6 linked regions of the Kluyveromyces lactis genome follow. The protein of the gene in region 1 interacts with the protein of each later gene in a biochemical or structural test. Links are inferred from orthologs where the notes say so. Each region holds a gene or a part of one and is shown on either strand. Other genes may lie near its edges.

Region 1 (4,096 bases):
ATTGTACTGGTATGCACCATACCTATCAGTTTACATGGTTTTAGGGAAGTAATGATGGGTAGTTAATTTAACAAAAATATTATGTAGAGGAATGCATCTTTCCTATACAATGTCCAATTTATGAACTAGTAGTAAATATAAATAGACTTCAAAATCTGACGCGAAAGACTACTGAGCCCGGCTCTTGTATTTAAAGGGTTTCCTTGGGAAAAACTAACGGATGTAGTAGACTTTTTATCCAGTCCTGATTCTGGGAACAGGTCATTTAATTAGCAGATAGAATGGTAAGAAACTTAACATAACGTTATGGAGGTATGTGAGATTAATAATTTACGATTTTGTTATTTACCGTAACATTACGGTTAAAGTTGACGGTATGATTTGAACCTTCACCAGTAGATCAAAGCTGATATATAATTTTACTACATAGCTATCTCGTTGAAGGACATTATTGCAGTATTAATAAAACGAAAACTTATATATATCATTTCTTCAATCGGTTATGGGGAATTGTCTTAACGAATGTTTTAAACATGAATAGAACCTAGTTTTTTCAAGAAAAGGCTCTAACAGTTCAAATACAATAACGTTATATGAGCAAAATGCAAAGAATTTCTGAAAATTCGGAGTGTTATGCTTGATAGCAACCATATCGATTTATAATCTTTACTTCCATCTATTGATAAGTAAAGATTTTAAAGTCTTTGTAGCATGACTGGAGTTAGAATAAGAAACAGCTGATACAAGTTATTCAACCATGGTATTTACTAATTGATGCCATATGGATTGTTGCAGTATAAACCGGCTTCACATAGTTCTGAAGAAGATTCGGCACCAATCACCTGATGCCGCAATGTGCCATAATAGAACTTCTATCAATGATTCCGTTCTATTTACTCAAATTCCCACTCCAACGTTGTAGCAGTGCCGAGTAAAGACTGATCCATCTTTGATCATTGGCTTTGTATATATGTATGTACTTTTACGCGTCATTGTAATATTTAATGTTCATCGAATATTTACGCGATTTAAAGGTTGACATTTTTCTGAAATAATCTGGATCTTTGAATTGCAAAAGCGATCATACACATTATGAAAGAACGATTTATTCCATTATTCATTAGCTTTGTGTTGGCAGTTTAGTGGGTATACACAGTCACAACCGACTATAGAATAGCACACTTGTGAAAATCGTTCTATATTGAGGCATTAAGTTGTCCCTTTGAGGTTTGCCGTTACCTTTCCCAGCCTCTTTAGAGATCAACTGATCATTGCTGTGCAAACGAAGATATTGACATGGATGATATAACGCAACCGACACAACAAGCCACTCAGGCTACACAGAAGTACCTAATAGATAAGTTTTCTCAGGAGAAAATAGACGACGATGTGGTGTGCAGAGTAATATGTACAACTGGTCAAATAAGTCTACGGGACTTGAAGGTTCAACCTGAAAGTATATTCAAAAAGGAATCATCAATTAAAAAAACATGGACCTTTGGAAGAAACCAAGGATGTGATTATTATCTGGGGGATATTTCAAGACTGTCCAACAGACACTTTATGCTAATGCTGGGTGAAGAAGGAACTTTAATGCTGAAGGATACATCAACCAATGGAACATGGTTAAATGGAGCGAGGATACAAAAGGATACGAATCACATCTTGACCCAAGGGGATGAAATAAGTGTTGGAGTCGGCGTTCCCAGCGATGTCGTTAGTTTAGTGATTTTCATCAACGATAGTTTCAAAAATAGACTAAAAGAACTCAATATGATGAAGGATGTGACTTCACCTGCTTCATCTTCAAAGAGCAAATATCAGATATCAATGGGACATACAGAATTAAAAGGAATACACAAATACTATTCGATATCAGATTCGATTGTTGGTCAAGGTGCTTTCGCTACTGTGAAGAAAGCTGTCGAAAGGTCAACAGGCAAAACATTTGCGGTCAAAATAATTCATAAGAGAAAAGTAATGGATAAATTTGATGGAGTGAAGAGGGAACTAGATGTATTGCAGAAATTAAATCACCCCAGGATAGTTAAACTTAAGGACTTTTTTGAAGACAATGATAATTATTACATGTTGATGGAGTTTGTCAGCGGAGGCGATTTAATGGATTTCGTAGCAGCCCATGGAACTGTAGGCGAGGATGCCGGCAGAGAGATAACACGACAGGTTTTAGAGGCAGTAAAATACATGCATGATCAAGGAATTAGCCATCGAGACTTGAAACCTGATAATATAATGATAGAGCAAGACGATCCAGTTCTTATAAAGATAACCGATTTTGGCCTGGCAAAAGTACAAAATCAGAATACATTCCTGAACACTTTTTGTGGTACTCTAGCATATGTTGCACCTGAAGTTATAGACGGGAAAAATGCTGAAGATAAAACTAATCGAGATCTGTATTCCTCACTTGTTGATATGTGGTCAATTGGATGCCTAGTTTACGTTATTCTTACAGGTCACTTGCCTTTTAGTGGTCAGTCTCAGAATGAATTGTTCAAGCAAATAAAACGGGGCTCTTATCATGAAGGACCATTAAAGGATTATAGAATATCCGAAGAGGCAAGAAACTTCATAGATTGCCTGTTGAATGTGGACCCTAAAGAAAGAATGAACGCAGGAAAGGCCCTGCAACATCCATGGATGAAAATGGCATACGTTGATAGCATGCAGTCACAAATATCCATCTCACAATCCTTGTCCCAGCAACAATTTGTTGACAGTATGAATGAGGCTGAATACGAATCATACATTGCGAAAAAGAGGTTAGAGATTATCAAGAAAGAAATAACGGCGCCTGCTGCAGAAACTAATAAAGAGCCTGTATTCAAAAAACCACAAATTGCACCATCTAAAATTGCACAATCCCAAAACTTGCAGTTTAACTTTTCAAATCCTAATACTGGTAAAGCTATTAATGTTAATTATAAATCTGGTGAAGAAGGACTTTCAAACAATAAGAACAAAAAGATCAATAGACCACTTACAAAGGTCAATGGGGAGGGGCTATTTCTCACTTTGCATTCCTTACCTGGCTCATCTATTTCAGGTAAGGTCCAAGTAAAACAAGGGATAAATCCATTCTTCATCGGTAGGTCAGACGAATGCAACTGTAAAATTGATGATAATCGTTTATCTAGGATACATTGCTTCATATTGAAGAAAAGACACGCTGTCGGTGACAGTATTTATGAATCTCCAGCTCAAGGTCTTGATGATGTATGGTATTGCCAAAGTGGTACTAACTCAAGCTATGTTAATGGAAAGAAAATCACTCCGGGCACAAAGATCTTACTTCATGATGGCGATGAAATCCAAATTATATGGGATAAAATCAATGATGTCACTGTTTCTTTCCAGCTTGAGTTCAATGATACCACTGGTTTGTTCCACGAGGGGAAGCTGGATACCAATGAGAAAACAAACAAGACACTTCTACATAAACAGACACAGGAGGAGTTAGCTTTAGTCCCTAAGTTTATGGAATTTATGAAGTCTAGATCATCACAACATGCCAAATCTAATATAAACCAGTCCTCTTCCAGTAACATAGATGCCAACTCGCAAAATATCGAGGAATTAGATTCTGTCGTTGAGATGAACTCGACTACAGGATTGAAAAGAATACATTCAGTGTCGTTATCTCAATCTCAACCGCAGACAACCAAAAGGGCTAAGCTTGCCCAAGCCCAGAAACCAGATATTGAAGGATTTCTCTGAGCTGATCATATGCTTGCCGGATGGGTTTTGCATACAGTAAATATGAAAAATAGGTACACTTTGAGTATGCTAGATAGACTTTTCAACGTTAATTGATGTAATACTAATACAAATTGGTTCAAAAGCACTATAGACCAGCAGTCAATAACACTAGGTAGAAAACATGCTGTGTTCGCAATAACATTGTTGAGAAATTATTGCTGGCAAACATTCGTTACAAACCTATATTTTTCGAAGAGTCATAGGTTCAGTAATACTGTTCAGAATTTTCATTATATTAAAACTACTCGTCCCTCAGTCATGAGATCTCGTATTACACTATAACGTATTACGTATACTGCCCCGATTAATAAGTAAA
Region 2 (3,162 bases), on another chromosome or scaffold:
ATTGACACTTTATGACAGGTTGGAACGGCTGAAACATGTAAAAAACAAGATTAGCTTGTTAAATTCATATCTGTAAACCTAGCAGTAACAATAAAAGCAAAACAAACAAATTTTTCCTATTTGAATTCCAATAATAGAAAAGTTAGTGGATTCAAGGTTCAAGAGCTCTTAAAACCGGCCAATGAAAACCGTCCCATGTCGATTACTAAAGTTGGCATAGATCACGTCAGATCTATTTTGATGCCCTTTGGGGATCTCTCGAAGGAGAAAATGGAAAAAAAAGACACATGCACCCATACACCACATCATTAGTAATTTCCATGATCTCTCTTTTGGTTTCCGTGGAGATTCCTGGAAAAGCGTCCGATGACGAATGTGAGATATATTGGGCACCACTCGTGACCGTATCTAAGGAGGAAGGGCGCAATTCTTAGTTGCATATTTTATTCACTTAAAAGTGACAAAATTAGGTCGGCTTCCTGTTTGTAATGTGTTCCGTTCTATCCTTCACTATCATATATGATAGCGTCGTTGTCAGTGCCTTCAGTTCCATGAGTTGCCACAATGTTGTCTGAATGAACGATTCGTGGTGTAAACTGGATTGATTGCGAAGAGTTTGGTGTTACGGGCTGACTGTGACTTTGAACATCTAATAGCATACGGCTCGGACTTGGCTCCGTGTATAAAACCCGTCTTCTCTTGTTTGGGGGAAGCACCGGTGCTGCGGCTACTGCAGCAGCAGCAGCTGTCGCACTTGAGGAAGTGTTCGTAGGAAGAAGATTGTCAGTGACAGCAGTTGTTGGGTTTTCTGCGACTATAGTTGTGTGACAGCTATAAAAGTTCCCAGATTCATTAGTCTTAACCCAAACCAGTTTATTCTTCGAGCCCACTGGCTGTTGATGTTGTACAACAAACTGCCGTGATACCTCGGGGATGATTCTTTTCTGGGAGTTAGGATTCTGCTTTTGTTCTGCATCCCAATTCCAGAACACACCGATCCTGCATCGAAGAAACACCTCCCAACGGGCATCTTTACTTCCAACGGCTGCATTTGCTACTAATCCACTCTTCAACACTTGCACGTGACGTTTCCGTTGAGATTTCACGAGGAAATTGCTAAAGGAACCATCTGAGTGGGTTCCGTTGCTGGGATCGTTGTATGAGACAACTGCATCGTCTGAATAGTCCTGGTAACCTGTGTTCATAGCGTCATTAAGTAATACCACCACCGTATTGTTTGAAGTGGCGTATTTAGTTATGGTGACAAGCAATTGTATCAAACTTTTCACCTTGAAATCGTGCAAGGTCTGTCGATGGTTAGAATATCCACTGTTCTTCTCGTACATATGGAGATACTCTACCAAAAGCTGAGATAAACCATCGATTATTATGAGCCCGTACGTCTCTTTTAAATTCTGAAACATGTACCACAGTTGAGCAAATTTCTTCACTCTTGCGAATTGGCACCCTTTGAAATGGACTTCGTCCTCATCTCCTTGCTCTATAAGCTTCAGTGGTACTTGCTGGAACGTGTCAATCCACAGACATTTCATCCTATTCTGATTATTGTTCACTAATTGTACCGCGAACTTTGTCTTGCCAATTCCTGGAGGTCCGTAAACCTCGTAGATACTCTGTGGTTGGAATCCGTCATTCAATGAATCGTCTAAACTCTCAATGCCACTTCGTACATGATCTGCACGCGCTTGTATCAGTTGAGACAAAGGTACACCAAATGACATTAGAATGCTATCAACTAATCACCAAACGCGTCCACAGTTTCTCCTGGTTCTTCAAGCCTTTCAAGACTATGTATAACTAGCCTTTTAAATCCGCATAATTCACCTTTAGGTGTAACTAAAAAATGTCATCAAGTCCGTAGACAACTCAGCTCAATAATGTTTGTTTTATTTACCAGGTTTTTGCTGTGATTATGTTATTCAAAAATATAAAATAAGAAAAGATAAGAGGGAGTAATAATACTTGAATTTAATCATTGAAAGAATTGAAATTAAAAACTCGAAGGTTCTTCCCACGAATCTCCTTGTCTACCTCTTGTCGGATTATATCCTACGGGTGTATCTTATTTGGACTTTATTGATTATTAGTCTAGTTCATTAAGCTAGAGAAGATAATGAGTTCCGGGTAACATTTCAAATCTTAAAATTTTTCTTAGCATTCAACATTGCCGAACAGGAAAAATTGAAATCATTTCGACTTGTATCAATTCATGAATCTAAAATGCATAACTAGAAAGTCTACTATTTCTTGCTCAATGCATCCTATTTACATTCTTCCTAGAGTTTCGGAACGATTGATATAATTGAGGCAACTAACTAAAAATATTTAATGTCAATGTTTGGGCGTCAACTGTTCAGAGGAATACACACAGTTCCAAAGATACCTGGTATTTCACAACTTTTGGATTCAGGCATCCCTCATGTTATGAGCGCTAACACATTCAAAACTTGCTGGGTTGACCAGCAGCAGCTTTTGTGCGATAAGCTAACACTGGCATCTGCAGGAACTGCCGCAGAATCCTACTTGCCATTCCATTTAGTACTGCACACTGCGAAGAAATCATACCAAACAAACATTTTCAATTTGGCTAGTGCTTTGCACAATAACCATTTGTTCATAGAAAACATATTGCCTATGGAACAAGTTACACATCCATCTCGTGAGTTTCTACAGAAGCTAGAATCACAATATTCAATGACTTGGGATGCTTTTAAGGATGAAATGGTTAGACATGCAGAAGAAGATGTGTTAGGTCAAGGATGGCTATTCCTTGTGGAAAATGATGCCAAGGAACTTCACATCCTAACAGTTCAAAATAATGGTACTCCATACTACTTTGCTAGAAACCAATCTTTCGATTTGAACAGTGCTCTATCCTTAGAAGAAATGGAACAGTTTGTAACGATGAGAGATCTACTTGCCGCAAATGCAGACGTTAAAGATTGGACAATGCCTTTGATTGCGATCAGTTTGTGGGACCATTCATACTTGAATGATTACGGTATTAAGGGCAGATCCACTTACGTAAGGAAGTGTTTAGATAACTTGAACTGGTCTGCGGTTAACAACAGATTGTTCTCCACACAATAGGAGTATACCAGTACTTCCAATCATAAATAGACTGTTGGCTCTCTTTAAAAT
Region 3 (2,582 bases), on another chromosome or scaffold:
CTCATCAGTGCTTTTATTGGCTAAAGATTTATCATTCTCTAGTACCAATTGGACTAATTCTTTCAACGTGTCAACGTCTACCGAGCCAAGCTTTTGTAAGAAAGTAGTTCCCTTAGTACTTAGAGAACCGTTAGCAGATTCATTAATCAAGTACAATGCAAATTCCAATTTCAATTGGGAATCCAAATCCATTGGAAGCTCATCCCACTCCGAATTTTGTCTATTGGATATCAGGGAATTCGTACTCGTAGTTTGCAAATATTCATTCAACTGTTCATTGGGGTACTTCCCATGCAATTTCTCTACAAAAGAGGTATTGTACTCGTACCATTGGTCCAGGTTATTACGAAGCATTCTATCAAGGGGCTAGCTGCGATCAGTATCTAGCTTGGTTTGGTAGCAACTTACATTTTAACATTCCGTTCATCTATCCAGACGCGTTGATTCCGATCAATGCCTTTCTCAATTACCACGCACGGGACATACATGCAGTTTCCGGGTAATACAAGCACATTATCAACCACGTGATATTTGACATCACCACGCACGAATACCGCCATTCCGATGTCTGGGTGTCATCTTCCGAAGGCTTACATAAGCACACCTCATTACCCGCATGTCACGTTAAATTATCGTTTTTGTGGCCGAAACACAAAAAAGGAAGCAAACTGATAAAAAGAAACGTGAAAAAAGAGTACAGGCAAAAAAAAAGAAACAATGGAAGGAGAAGAAGAAGAAGAAGCAAGATTCTGAACAATTCCCATATACAACACAGGCAAGCATTCCACACTACGCTATATACTGTAGACATACCGGAAAGCGCAGACCGACAAGTTGACTTTTCAGGCTAACCGAAAAATGTAATTGTTGTTACCTCTTTTGATACTTGATACTTTTATTTCTCTTGATACTTGCATTTTGTCTATCTCATCGAATTTTGGAAAATAAGAAAGTAAAGAAGCTTTTAAGCCTATATTGTTAATGATGACTATTCAGTTTACCTTTGTTAGATTAGTTTAAGGTAGGTTTTTGTTGGATTTGATCCAAACTCATCACTATAGAATAATATCGTCAGTTCTTGAACAGGGAATCACTTTTTTTTATCTTTTATACTTCCAGTTGGTTTTAACTTTAACGTCGTCTGAGCATCTGTCAATGATGAAACTCGATGAGATTATAGAGACTCTAAGGCAGGGGAAACATGTTGACGAGGATTCGATATACTCGCTGTGTGTCATGGCTCAAGAACTTCTTATGAATGAGTCTAACGTGACACATGTGGATACGCCAGTCACAATTTGTGGAGATATTCATGGCCAATTGCATGATTTGTTGACTCTCTTTGCTAAGAGTGGAGGCATTGAAAAGAATAGATACATCTTTTTGGGAGATTTCGTGGATAGAGGGTTCTATTCGTTAGAGAGTTTCCTTCTTTTGGTATGTTATAAATTAAGGTATCCAGATAGAATTGTGTTGATACGAGGAAATCATGAAACAAGACAGATTACGAAGGTTTATGGGTTTTACGACGAAGTGGTAAGGAAATATGGTAACAGTAACGTATGGAGATACTGTTGCGAAGTATTCGACTATTTGCCCTTGGGTGCCATTGTAAACAACAAGGTTTTCTGTGTTCATGGTGGATTATCGCCGGACGTTTTATCAATCAACGAAATACGAACCATCGATAGGAAAAAGGAGGTACCGCATGAAGGTGCTATGTGTGATTTATTGTGGTCGGATCCAGAGGATGTGGATACTTGGTCTCTTTCCCCGCGTGGTGCAGGTTTCCTATTTGGCCAAAACGAAGTAGATAAATTTTTACACACAAATAGTGTCGAATTAATCGCTAGAGCTCATCAATTGGTCATGGAAGGTTATAAAGAGATGTTCGATGGGGGATTAGTCACGGTATGGTCAGCACCAAACTACTGTTATCGTTGTGGGAATGTGGCTGCTGTGCTGCGCATCGATGACGATATGACGAAGGATTACACCATTTTTGAAGCTGTTCAGGCGAGGGATAGTGGAGGTAATGTCATTCTCCCTACGAAAAAACCTCAAATGGACTACTTCTTGTAACTTATTACCATTATTATTTGCATTTTTCTCTCTCTCTTCTCGATTTGCTGACCGATTCCCGTGTTATTGGTTCAGTCTTCTTTTCTTTCAGCATTATTTAACAGCATGGTATATCACCCTGATCCTCATTATCAACCGACCATCCTCCCAGCATAGCTCAACCTACAGTTGTTGCTTTGTATTAATATTACCTCTCTTCTTAATCTCATTCAACACAGTGATATACCACATTTCAATAAAAGTATCCCAATAGGTATGTAACAGTAAACTATTTCAATAATTGTACGATTGAATTATATGATTCATTTGATAGCATACATATTATACTGTAATATGGAATTTCTGGTTGTATTCCATTCGAGCAGAACATTTATGACGATACTTTTACCTTCCCTTCAATTTTGGATTTAACGGTAATATTTTGATATTTGATCTTCAATTAAGTATCTCAACCTTAAACGGAGTCTTACAAAAAGTCAAATAGACGTTTAGATGCAAGG
Region 4 (3,686 bases), about 810 kb from region 1:
TGTTTCTATTGCGTTCATTCTTGTAATTCAACGGAGTGTAGAGCGAAGAGTCGCTGAATACATTTGCCGATGTGCCCATCCCAACGTTGAAATCCTCATCTGTTGAGTGTTTGACATGTTTGATCCTGCGGAACTGCGGGCTTTTCCAGGGTGGCAGACGCGGAAGATCTATGTTGTGCTCCATGTATTAACTTAAGAGCCTGAACAGCTACAGTTGAGGGGTTGAAGGCTGGTTCTTGGCAACATTTTGCCTATAATTATGACAAATTATTGTGGGTATTTTAGAATGCTTACCTTTGACTGACATTTGTGGCATTGGTTTAATGATCACGTGATATCAATGGTAAACCTAACAGATTTCAAACAGCTTGGACATCCCATAGTAGTGTCAATTTCGAGGTATCTGATTAGATTGTTACATAATATATATATATATATTAGATTTAAAGCCGAAAGCTCACCTCATGATATGCCTAAATTAATATGTTTGTGTCTTCGTGCTAAATCAATCCGCTTAATGTCAAACGTTCAAGGAATGGTTGTAGATCGTCTTTCCTGATTTCAATAATTGATGTCTCGAAATTGTCAATCCTTACTTTGGCACCTGTCTCAGCTGCTATTTGTTGAAATGCCACTGTGAAATTATTTAAAGTTTTCTGCTGTTGTTGTTGTAAAATGTCCAACCCTCTTGGGTACCTTGGCGCAATCCCTGCACAAAGATATGTGTCAGAAGTCTCATCTAAAGTTGCCAATACCAGTGGAAGTAACTGTTTTTCGTCATTTTCTGCATAGTATTCAATGAGCCATGATCCCAGCCTCAATAACGTTAATGGATTTCTATATAAATGCAAATCTGGTCCATCTTGTAAAACACATAGCCTGTAAATCCTTAAATGTTTCACTAATCTTTTCTCCAGAATAGCGACTCCAGTTTCAAATACACTTCTTTGTAAAAATGTTGCATGCTTAATCCCCTGAGATAAAATATCCATATTATTGTCCAATACATCCCAACTTGACCAAAAATTTGCAATCCATTTTTTTTGCCTTGTCTTCAGTATTCTGTTAATTTTTTGCTCTTCAGCTTCTTCGTACTCCCTATTCTCTTCATCACCTTGGTTCGTATCATCTTTTTGAGATACATTAGCTGTTGTCAAATTTTCTAGTGCGTTTGAAGCATTGCCAACTTCAAGTAAAGCGGTTATCGATTCGACAAATTCACTGGCACTTATTGATCCTCGGTAACCGAAAGTTCTCAAGAACCCATCTCGTACAATATCTTGTAACCCGTATCTATCGAGATTTTTATCGAAAAGTACGCCCAGATCTCTCTTGAAATTATTGTCCATATATATCCAGTTTTCCTGTGTAACACTCAGCGGAATACCCATGCGTGCAAACATTTTATGCAGTCTTTTCTTGCCATTTTCATTCCACAGTGACAGTTTGGCGTTGACGTAGTTAGAATAATAAAAACTATCATATAAGGATGTATGCCTCAGAAGGAATAAACTGTAATCGGGACGAATCTCAAGATTCAAAGAATCTGGCGTTTTAGTTTTTTCACTAGGTGTCAATCTTTTTACTTCATCTTTCAGAAGTGGTAATAGTCGATTGTATACCAACGGGAAGGAATTATCCAAAGAGGACACTCCTAGAATGCATAACCATAAATAATCTAGATTTGTCTCACCAATACCAGACAAAAGAGAATATATCTGAACTGAAAGGGAGTTCAGCACCGTTGATCCCTGTGAATAGTACTCCTGTAACACTTTTTCTAAGTTGTGAAACTCTCGCTTTCGTTGTTTATGTGATTTTTTTGGATTCAATTCATCGCTGGACCTTTTACCCAATACTACGTCATCGTCATCGTCATCGTCATCGTCATCGTCGTCTTTATCCTCATTTTGCGTTTCCCTGTCATCTTCCTCTTCCTCGCTATCACTGTCATCGTCCAATTCATCGCCAAGTTCGTTCTCTATCTCTATAAGTTTGTAGTATGCTTTCTTTTGCTCTGTCAAAGACTCTTCGACTGTTCCATCATCGAAACAGGTTATGCACTGTGAACCAAATAAATTATCCAAATTCCACGGTCTATGACAATCAAGCACAAATATCTCCTTCTTAAATTTCTGAACAACGTCAGTCTTATCTAATTGAATCTCATCTAATGGACCCTGCGTGTTTTCTTGTGGATCAATCTCTAAAAAAGATTCAAGATCTACCATCCCTCCACAACCTACAAATATAACGCTATTGATATTTTCGTCCAGTCTCTGATAGTGATCCTTCAATTCCGAATAACCAAACACGGGAACTAACTGTGATTGTACCAATTGCTTCTTGAATAGACTGGATAGCATCTTCGATGCACATAACGCGTCAATGTTTAAACACGAAACAAAAATCACCAACTGACATGAAGAATGAGAACTGCATCGGTGAAGAATTTTATCATAAGCACCCACAAATTCAGCAATGCCAATATACATCCTCTACCTGGCACTTTGATGGCCTGCAGTGGTTTTGTTTGCAGTCTCTTTTCCCTCGTGAGCTAGTCATCTCATGTATTTACATAAATTTCTTTAAAATATTGGTTTGGAATACTTACACGTTTAAAGATTTTTGGAAAATCGATTACTTGTCATAAATGGCATACATGCGAAATATTCGAAATATTCGAAGAGATGCCAAGATTTACAAGACTATAGGTACTAAACACTGCTATCTGATATTTCATATTGCAGTATTACGAAATACGAAGATCTTAACTTACTATGAAACTACTGGGAACAATAATTGGTTCAGCATTCTTTTTACAAGCTGTGTCTGGATTCTTTTTCGATTCAGGTCACCAGAATAGACAGCAACAGCAGCAACAGCAGCAACAGCGGGATGTTGGCTCTTACCAGCAAATGTTCCTAGATAATGACTGTCCGCATTATTTATGTCCACAGACATTGGATTGTGTGAGACAGAAGTCGGATTGTGCGTGTCCGTTCCCTAATTCACAATTGAAATGCAATCTACCCAACGGTCAGGTAATTTGCATCTCAAAGCCAGCAACACATGATCCAACACTGGTAGAGATTTATGATGATCCAGTAATGGGACCAGCTCAACGTACTGAGGGATTCAGAGATTGTGGATGGATCTTGGATGTATATGACGGCAAGATTTAGAATGAGAGATCTTTCTTTCTGTATCGGCCATAATACTATTACAAACATAAACTGATAATATATATAGAGACATATAATACAGACCATTACTGTATTTAATGCAATTAACTAGCATGGGTTTATTTTTACTCGTTTGAGTTCTTCGCGGAAAAGATCGTTACCGGTTCGGAACAGTTAATCTCTGTTCTTACCTGCAACCCATCTTTTGTATAACAATTCATGGATTTTAAAGTTTCTGAAAAGCTCATCGTACTTTGATTGCTTCCAAAGTTCCATTAAGTCATCTTCAGGTATGAGTTGTTCAACGTAGCATAATACAAACTGTTTCTTGGCTCCGCCCACGACTCTGGCAGCGCTTGAATACCAAGTGTAATCATTTGACTGGTTTGCATCCAAAACCATGATTCCATACTCCGCATGTTGGAAAGGGGGTCCTCTTCTGTATAATAAGTATTCGCAACCAAATTTTATCCCCGATCGTACACACCACCCTTTGGACCT
Region 5 (3,364 bases), on another chromosome or scaffold:
GTTGTTCAAACTACTTGTCGCTCCAAATTACACTTTTGAATCTTGGGCTTGGATGTTTTTCACTTTGTTGTTCAAGTTGAACTTATTCTCAGTTCTTTTCCTTGTTGTCTCGGTGGTTCAGATGTACTTGTGGGCTCAAAAGAAAAACAAGAAATATGGTACCAAGAGAGCATTCTTGATCCCATTCTTGTTCTGAATTCACCAATTACTATCACCACATACATATTTGACTTGGGGTATTATAGCATTCTCTCTTAAGTGAATAACGCTGTTTTACTCGTTTATTTACGCACTTGTTCTCTAACTTATGCCGTCAAAGCGTTGGCAACGTTTGTAAACTAAATATAATAATGATGATGAATGCAAAGTATTAAATTACTCTATCGGTTAAAGAACTCTATATATGAATGCATGTATATAAAAAATGAGTTCTGCTCTAAGTTATTGCGGTGAATATATGCTAATTTTCGTCAAATATTTTTGTTTCGTTCTGGATTTCATTACTCAACGACCCCGGTGAAGTGATCTTCTCTTCTTTGATCTCTATCAAGTAAATCTTCGTTCAGTTCTTTGAACCATAAATGTTCAAGAAGATCACTGGCGCTGGGTCTTTTGTATGAATTGAGTTCGAAACATTTTGCCAAGAGATCAAAACACCAAAAATGATCGTCCCAAACTGCTTGTTTGTAGCTCCGTATTTTATCATCAATATCCTCTTCATCGTCTGGGCCTAAACTTGGCGTGAGTTGTTTGTCAAATTGTGTCAAATAATCCAACGTCTCGAACGCTATGGAATACTCTGGTAATGTTCCTTCCTCCACTTCTTTGTCAAGTAAAGCTCTCACAAAACCTTGTAGCCCCCCAGGATATCCTTCCGAATGGAAACCTGGAACCTTTGTCATGTCTAGTCCCAACCCATGGAACTTGGCGACTTCTTGCATGGGCTTGATTCCAAAAATGCAACATATCTCCAGAAAGGCGTCAATATCATCCATGCTTTGAAAGATTGGGAACCTTCTGCTGATGAAACTTAACAGTATCACACCAACTGACCAAATGTCAATTTTTTGAGTTTGGAAAGAACATTTCATAAGCACTTCTGGCGCTCTGAACCCTCTCGTACCAGCTCTATTAGCTCTACGCTGCCTCCTAGTTTCATGTTTTGGGTACCCCTTACTCAATTCTGCCTTCATGAGATTCTCACTTTGTGCAGCACTTAATTCATTTGCCCCTCTAACGTTAAGCTGCCCGTTCTGAATGGATATCAACGGCAGATGTGATGTCTTTTTGTTGTTAGCATACGGTGAAGAACAATTACAAACCTTCTCTCCCTGGTCATTAACATACACACGATAGTTGAGGTCAGGCAAGTACAACTCTTCATTCTCTTCAGCCAAACCAAAGTCTACTAACACACCTCTCCCAAGTATTGGGTTGTATAGGAAATTGGTTGGCTTCACGTCTCTGTGAATGATTCCAAATGAGTGCACGTATTTCAAGGCGCTTAAAAGTTCAAACATGTACTTCTTTATCCCCTTGATAGGCATGTCTCGGTAGAAATGCCGGAATTCTTCATGCGGATACCAGGGCAAGACGACAACCACCTGATCCTGGTATCGAATCGCGTCGCATAATGGTGCTACGTTATTCGAATTTGACAGTAACTCTAAGAGTTTAAGTTCATTTTCAATTCTGTTCGGCGAGCTTGTCACGTATATCCTCTTGATAGCCACATGTTTACTATTCTTATCCCAGAAATGATCAGGGTATAACCTTCCAGATACGTTGCTAAGATCTTGAGCTTTATATACCGATGAAAAGGTCCCCTCTCCGATCTTATCCAGTAGCTTGTATCTGGATGACAACTGTGGTACCTTATCGTACAAATCATCCATTTCCTGGATGATTTCAGCGGGAATGTCATCCATAATTATAGTGTGTATATTGCCACCTAATATGAAGCCTAACAGACGAGCTGTATACCCATTGGTTTGACTCTACAAGAACAGATACGCTATATCCGTTGATTCTTTTATTCTATGCATTTTTTGGCGATGTTTTCATTTTTATTGTCGAAACCAAATATAATAACAAACAGCAGTAGTTCACATTGAAATGACATATATTAATGAACAGAAACAGGACGTTAAAAGGGGAATTGTCGAATAAAAGGACATTTACACACAAAGCAACCTTCATGTATAACTTATTAAATATGAAGTTTACATGGTTATGGGTATTTTCGCTTGTGATTGTCTGTCAAAGCTCACCAATAACGGTACAATTACAGAAGAATGGGAAAGAATGTGTTTACATTGATGTTGATGACAGTGACTGCAAAATATCTTATTACTTCGCAGTACAAGAGGGAGAAAACAATGCCTTCAGAGTAAGCTATGAATTATGGTCTCCGGACGATACAGAGTATCCTATGATTTACAAAGATGACGAAGAGCAAGGGCAATGGACATTTCCTGCGAAACATACTGGTGAATATGCGTTATGTGTCATTGGTGATGAATATCCTAAGATTGTTGATTTAGACATTGTACAGATATGTTTCGATCAGATACCGAAGCCAGCAGATCCTCGTTTGATAGGAGAGACGATAGATAGTTCACTGGTGAGGACACTGCAAGATTCTGTAAATATAATAGAGGATCAGCTTCAAGTCTTGGAAAGAAATTTGAAGCTGTACAAATCACGTGCAGAAAGAAACCACCACACTGTTAAATCAATAGCATCGAGGTTGGTCACCATATCAATTTGCTCCATAGTTCTTGTACCGACGATTGCTGTTCTAGAAATTATAATAATGAAGTATATTCTAGGTAAATTTAAATCATAAGTGATATATATATAATATGTATATCATGCATCAAATAAAGGTAATTCAAAATTGAAGAAAAAAAAATGATTAGAAGATGGGGTACTTCATGTTCTTCTGCGTTCAAGAATTGTCTGGCCGGGAGGGTTTTTATTATGTCCCATGCCGTCAAGTTCAAAAGCCAATTTTCCTCTAACATAGGTGTTTCTCACTAAACCTTTCAGTTTGAACCCATCATAGGCTGTCAGTTTGTTTTTGAAATAAACTTTATCGTTGTCGACAGTCTGATAGGTATTGATGTCGAAGATAACAAAATCTGCGTCGTATCCAGTTCTTAGGAAACCCTTCCTGTGATCAAGACCAACTTGCTTACTGGTGTTCTCGCAACACCATTGAATGATTTCAGCGATGGAAGCACCGTTAGTGTATAGTAATGGTAGTCCCAACCCGACGGATGCAATTCCTCCCCATGCACTAAAAAAATCACCTTTTGCGAGGTCTTTTAGCTCCGGTATACATGGAGAATGGTCACTTACT
Region 6 (3,962 bases), on another chromosome or scaffold:
TGTTCATAACTGAGGCAAAAATGCAGAAATGATCAGACGCATTGGAATATTATTCAGGCGTCAAGTCTTCAAGCAACTTAAAAGCTTGCAGTAACTCGGCTTTTGCAGTTACTATGTCGTCATAGTTTAGAGCGCTTATTGCATACTTAGCACTTCGTTGTGCTTTTTGAATCCTGTGCTCCCTTGACATTATTTCTTTCAAAGTAGCAACATCATGTCTCACTGCCGGTTTAGGTGATTCTAATTTGATCGGTTCTGGCGTTAGCAACTTTATTGGAACTTCTGGCGACTCAAGCTGCTTTAACTTCTCAACGGATTCATCTACCTTCAAAGAGGGAGACGGACCATGCTGCTGTGCTATTTCCGAATCTTTTGGCTCTTCGAATAGCGGCTGATCCTCTAGATCCTCGACAAAATTTGGGATTTCATCTTCCACTTCGCTTAGTGGGTTACTATTTGTAGGTTCTGATGTGGTTTCTTGGGGCTTCTTGTCGCTTTGTAATTGTCCCCTTTTCAATTTCATAAGATAGTATTTGGAATGTTTGATCCTTTTATCGCATTGCTCTTTTACAATGGCATCCATACTATCCGCCCATATATGTTTACAGCATTGAAACAAATCTATACAGCACCATAGCCCCTTTCCTATATCGTCATTAATCCTATCATCTTGTATTTGTACTAAGATTCCGTTATAGATTGACATCGCAAGATTTAACACAAAAGCCAATGCTTTGTCTTTTTCATTCAACAGGATCTTAGTACCTTCATCATTCACCTCATTTTTAAAGCTCTCTACATCGTCTAATAATGACATGACCAACTCTGTCGCTTCCCCGTCTCGCTCCTTCTCATTCAATATTAGCTCTGCCGCATATAGTTTTAAGTAGTAAGATATAACAGGAAGAGTTGACAATTCTTTAGAGAGTTTAATGACTCTCTTGTACTGCGCTACATTGCTCATAATGTATCAAGTATAGTGAACGAAAGTCTTTTGGGCTGTATGAGCACGTCTCAGTCCCCTGGATACCTCATTCATTCCCTATCCCAATATGTCGATATTATGATAATATAATATACAAACGCCAAATGGAGAAAATTTATTGATTTTTGAATGTTAACCAAATTATGAACATCGTACTAATTTCACAATTGAGAACTCTAAACAACGAACAACGTTGACTGTACTAGTAATTGTTCTGGGATCCTTCACAATTTAACGGTATAAAGTGGACGATGAGCAGGCCTATTTTTAAGGTGCATAAGGGAGACCGTATTACTTTCCAGCAGCGACTTCAAGACGGATATGTCTGTCTGGACCAATTTATCCCTTTGTTGACCAACTTATCAAGTTTCAATTTCCATCGCGATGACCCATTGGTTGAGAATCTCGATGATATGGTCACTTCTCAATTCAATATACTTATAGACACTGATAGGTCTGGCACCCGATGGATCACTTTACAAAAAGCACATGAGTTATGGGATTTGCTGCAAATTAAAGATGATTCTGGTTCGGAAAATTTGACGGACCATGACGATGATAATGAAGCTAATCACAATGGCGTTGAAGACGATGGTCAGAAGACTCCTGAGAATAATGGTAGAAAGACGGACAACCACACAATGGAGAATGGTGGTACTGAAAATACAAATAACGGAAACAACAGCTCGAATAAAAATGATGGGAATGTTACTGCCGAAGGAAGTAATTTCAGGCCTGCAACAATTACAAATGGAACCACTTCTAGAATCAGTGGTGGTGAGCCAGACACTGTTAAACATGAGCTTCTAGATCTTCCCGATTCTCCTACGAAGAGGCATCAAACCAAATCTGTTTCAAAGATCCCGGTTTTCCAACATGATTTACCTACGGTCTCTACGTTACAGAAAACTCTGCCTCCAGTTAGTAATTACTCAAATGATGAACGTGCGAAGTTAGAGACCTTACTTCAGCGTATTCTTTTCCCCGAAACTACGAATTTGAACGTTGCAGAAGGTTACCCATCGGTCAGCTTAACCCAGCAGGTACAAGAACTGGACACACAATTCCCAAACGTTCCACTAAATTTTAACATCCCAATTGATGAACATGGAAACACTTCCTTGCATTGGCTGTGTTCCATAGCCAATCTAGACCTTCTCAAACAGCTCATTGTCTTTGGCAGTGATAGAAGAATCGGCGATAAGTCCGGTGAATCAGTGCTTGTAAAATCTGTGAAGTCGGTAAACAATTACGATTCTGGTACATTCGAGATACTGTTGGACTACTTGTACCCTTGTATCGTAATGGTTGATGACATGGATAGAACCGTTCTTCATCATATTGTGATTACTTCTGGTATGCCTGGTTGTAATGCAGCGGCTAAGTATTACCTCGATATTTTGATGGGTTGGATAGTTAAAAAGCAAAGCAGAACTAAAGAATCGCATTGCGTGCTACTAGAAGATATCGATCTTCAATGGGTTATCACTCATTTACTCAATGCTAGAGATTCTAATGGTGATACCTGTTTAAATATTGCCGCCAGGCTTGGAAACGTTGCCATTGTCGAAGCATTGTTGGATTATGGTGCTGATCCTAATATTGCAAACAATTCCGGATTGTGCCCTGTGGATTTTGGTGCAGGTACTCAACCCCGTTTTCAATCGAATACAAAAAATCTTATGGCCACACCTACCAAAACTCATGAAACTTCGTTGGATCCGATGGCTGAGTCTACATCGTTAATCACAAATATAAAATCACTCCTCTCAAAAATATCGAATGATTATGGTGATGAAATTAAACAACATAATGGGAAGATGAAGGAGCTCCTCGATACACTCAACATAAAGAGAGAAGCGTTGGCTAATGCACGGGATAGATTGGCTAAGGCAAAGCAAATCCAAGATGAATATAATCTGTTGTCCGACAGACTGAACAATGTGGAAAACACTATCGCTGAAGAAGATCAAAATTTCCAACTTGCTTCTAGAGAATTAGGACTATCACTGGATGATGTCCAAGAAGAAGGTCTGAACTCAGCCGATATTGCATTCGATGCTGATGAGCCTTTCAGAATCTCTTACGTTTACACAAAGTTTGAGGAAAAGATCAAAGACGAATATAACAATGATTTTGAACTATTCCTCAAACATTGCAATTTATCACAACTTGTTCATGAAATATACGATAACTTCCCTTCCAGAGCAGAAATCCCACATCCCAAAATTCTTAAAGCAAGAATCAAAGCGTACAATAGAAACGAATTGCATTTAGACTCAACTTTACAGACTATCAAAGACAAGCAGAAGAATTTAGAATCTAAATTCAGAAAAGTCTTGTCTCTCTGCTTGAAGATAGATGAAGAGAAGGTTGACTCAATGCTTGACGGTCTTTTGCAAGCTATATCTAATGAAGATCCTGAAGATATAGATACAGACGAGGTGAACAACTTTTTAGAGAGTGCCGCCGAATAAATACCAATTGATGGTAACCTATTTGGAAATAACTCTTGTTGTACTTTTATTTCTAACTAAACAGTTTACGCAAGCTGTTGTAATTTTAGTGGACTTTTACCTATAAAATACGATGAACCTTTTTTTTCTATTACATTTATTGCCTATGTATATATTTGTTTCTTCGACGCCTTGTGTTAAAAAGCAAGTCGAGCAGAATTTTTAGATTATTTAGTTGGTTTCTTCCAGAAATACTGTTTATGCACTCTCCTGCATGATCTTAAACCAGATCTGCCACCCTTGAGTGATGCTACCAGCTGTCTTCTGTCATCGTCAGGATCATTTTCTGCATCATAGTAGTATTCTTCATCCAGTGGCTTTCCTGCGGCATCTTTTCCTGTACGGTAAATTACTCCGATACATTGTTCGTCATTCAAAATAGCGCGCAGTTCTGTGCGGCTTAACTTCGAGACAACAGAGTTAACATCCTGCAATTGAAAGAGTGGCACTTGTTGAATGTT

What was found.
Region 2: of the proteins of RAD53 (region 1) and RAD55, one has a biochemical effect on the other in vitro, tested with the Saccharomyces cerevisiae proteins (2 studies listed by BioGRID). The link is inferred for Kluyveromyces lactis from reciprocal best matches to the Saccharomyces cerevisiae genes RAD53 and RAD55.
Region 3: of the proteins of RAD53 (region 1) and PPH3, one has a biochemical effect on the other in vitro, tested with the Saccharomyces cerevisiae proteins (2 studies listed by BioGRID). The link is inferred for Kluyveromyces lactis from reciprocal best matches to the Saccharomyces cerevisiae genes RAD53 and PPH3.
Region 4: the proteins of RAD53 (region 1) and CDC45 interact in a test that uses a peptide from one of them, tested with the Saccharomyces cerevisiae proteins (2 studies listed by BioGRID, with this or other methods). The link is inferred for Kluyveromyces lactis from reciprocal best matches to the Saccharomyces cerevisiae genes RAD53 and CDC45.
Region 5: the proteins of RAD53 (region 1) and CDC7 form a complex in vitro, tested with the Saccharomyces cerevisiae proteins (2 studies listed by BioGRID, with this or other methods). The link is inferred for Kluyveromyces lactis from reciprocal best matches to the Saccharomyces cerevisiae genes RAD53 and CDC7.
Region 6: of the proteins of RAD53 (region 1) and SWI6, one has a biochemical effect on the other in vitro, tested with the Saccharomyces cerevisiae proteins (2 studies listed by BioGRID). The link is inferred for Kluyveromyces lactis from reciprocal best matches to the Saccharomyces cerevisiae genes RAD53 and SWI6.

What each region holds. Positions count from the first base shown.
Region 1 is NC_006042.1:1,025,771-1,029,866, reverse strand, and holds RAD53 (serine/threonine/tyrosine protein kinase RAD53), read left to right. Parts: upstream 1-1,296; coding exon 1,297-3,738; downstream 3,739-4,096. Other genes in the region: DNA replication protein SLD5, read right to left, coding at 4,011-4,096. UniProt on the Saccharomyces cerevisiae protein: Controls S-phase checkpoint as well as G1 and G2 DNA damage checkpoints. Phosphorylates proteins on serine, threonine, and tyrosine. Prevents entry into anaphase and mitotic exit after DNA damage via regulation of the Polo kinase CDC5.
Region 2 is NC_006041.1:117,463-120,624, forward strand, and holds RAD55 (putative DNA-dependent ATPase RAD55), read right to left. Parts: upstream 1,743-3,162; coding exon 501-1,742; downstream 1-500. Other genes in the region: RSM26 (mitochondrial 37S ribosomal protein mS42), read left to right, coding at 2,350-3,111. UniProt on the Saccharomyces cerevisiae protein: Required for radiation resistance and meiotic viability and presumably acts in recombination and recombinational DNA repair pathways.
Region 3 is NC_006041.1:889,657-892,238, reverse strand, and holds PPH3 (phosphoprotein phosphatase PP4 catalytic subunit PPH3), read left to right. Parts: upstream 1-1,155; coding exon 1,156-2,082; downstream 2,083-2,582. Other genes in the region: PEA2 (Pea2p), read right to left, coding at 1-354. UniProt on the Saccharomyces cerevisiae protein: Forms the histone H2A phosphatase complex in association with the regulatory subunits PSY2 and PSY4, which dephosphorylates H2AS128ph (gamma-H2A) that has been displaced from sites of DNA lesions in the double-stranded DNA break repair process.
Region 4 is NC_006042.1:1,834,515-1,838,200, forward strand, and holds CDC45 (DNA replication initiation factor CDC45), read right to left. Parts: upstream 2,496-3,686; coding exon 501-2,495; downstream 1-500. Other genes in the region: KLLA0_F19800g (uncharacterized protein), read right to left, coding at 1-184; LCL2 (Lcl2p), read left to right, coding at 2,781-3,185; tRNA splicing endonuclease subunit SEN2, read right to left, coding at 3,360-3,686. UniProt on the Saccharomyces cerevisiae protein: Required for initiation of chromosomal DNA replication. Acts at the origin of replication. Also has a role in minichromosome maintenance.
Region 5 is NC_006039.1:396,463-399,826, reverse strand, and holds CDC7 (serine/threonine protein kinase CDC7), read right to left. Parts: upstream 1,929-3,364; coding exon 501-1,928; downstream 1-500. Other genes in the region: trans-2-enoyl-CoA reductase (NADPH) TSC13, read left to right, coding at 1-196; ERP3 (Erp3p), read left to right, coding at 2,129-2,848; DAL1 (allantoinase), read right to left, coding at 2,935-3,364. UniProt on the Saccharomyces cerevisiae protein: Serine/threonine-protein kinase. Needed for the initiation of DNA synthesis during mitosis as well as for synaptonemal complex formation and commitment to recombination during meiosis. Required for HTA1-HTB1 locus transcription repression.
Region 6 is NC_006039.1:143,071-147,032, forward strand, and holds SWI6 (transcriptional regulator SWI6), read left to right. Parts: upstream 1-1,236; coding exon 1,237-3,462; downstream 3,463-3,962. Other genes in the region: VTA1 (Vta1p), read right to left, coding at 50-964; TOS4 (Tos4p), read right to left, coding at 3,669-3,962. UniProt on the Saccharomyces cerevisiae protein: Part of a complex involved in cell-cycle-dependent transcription. SWI4 and SWI6 are required for formation of the cell-cycle box factor-DNA complex. The repeated element in the upstream region of HO (5'-CACGAAAA-3') is called the cell cycle box (CCB).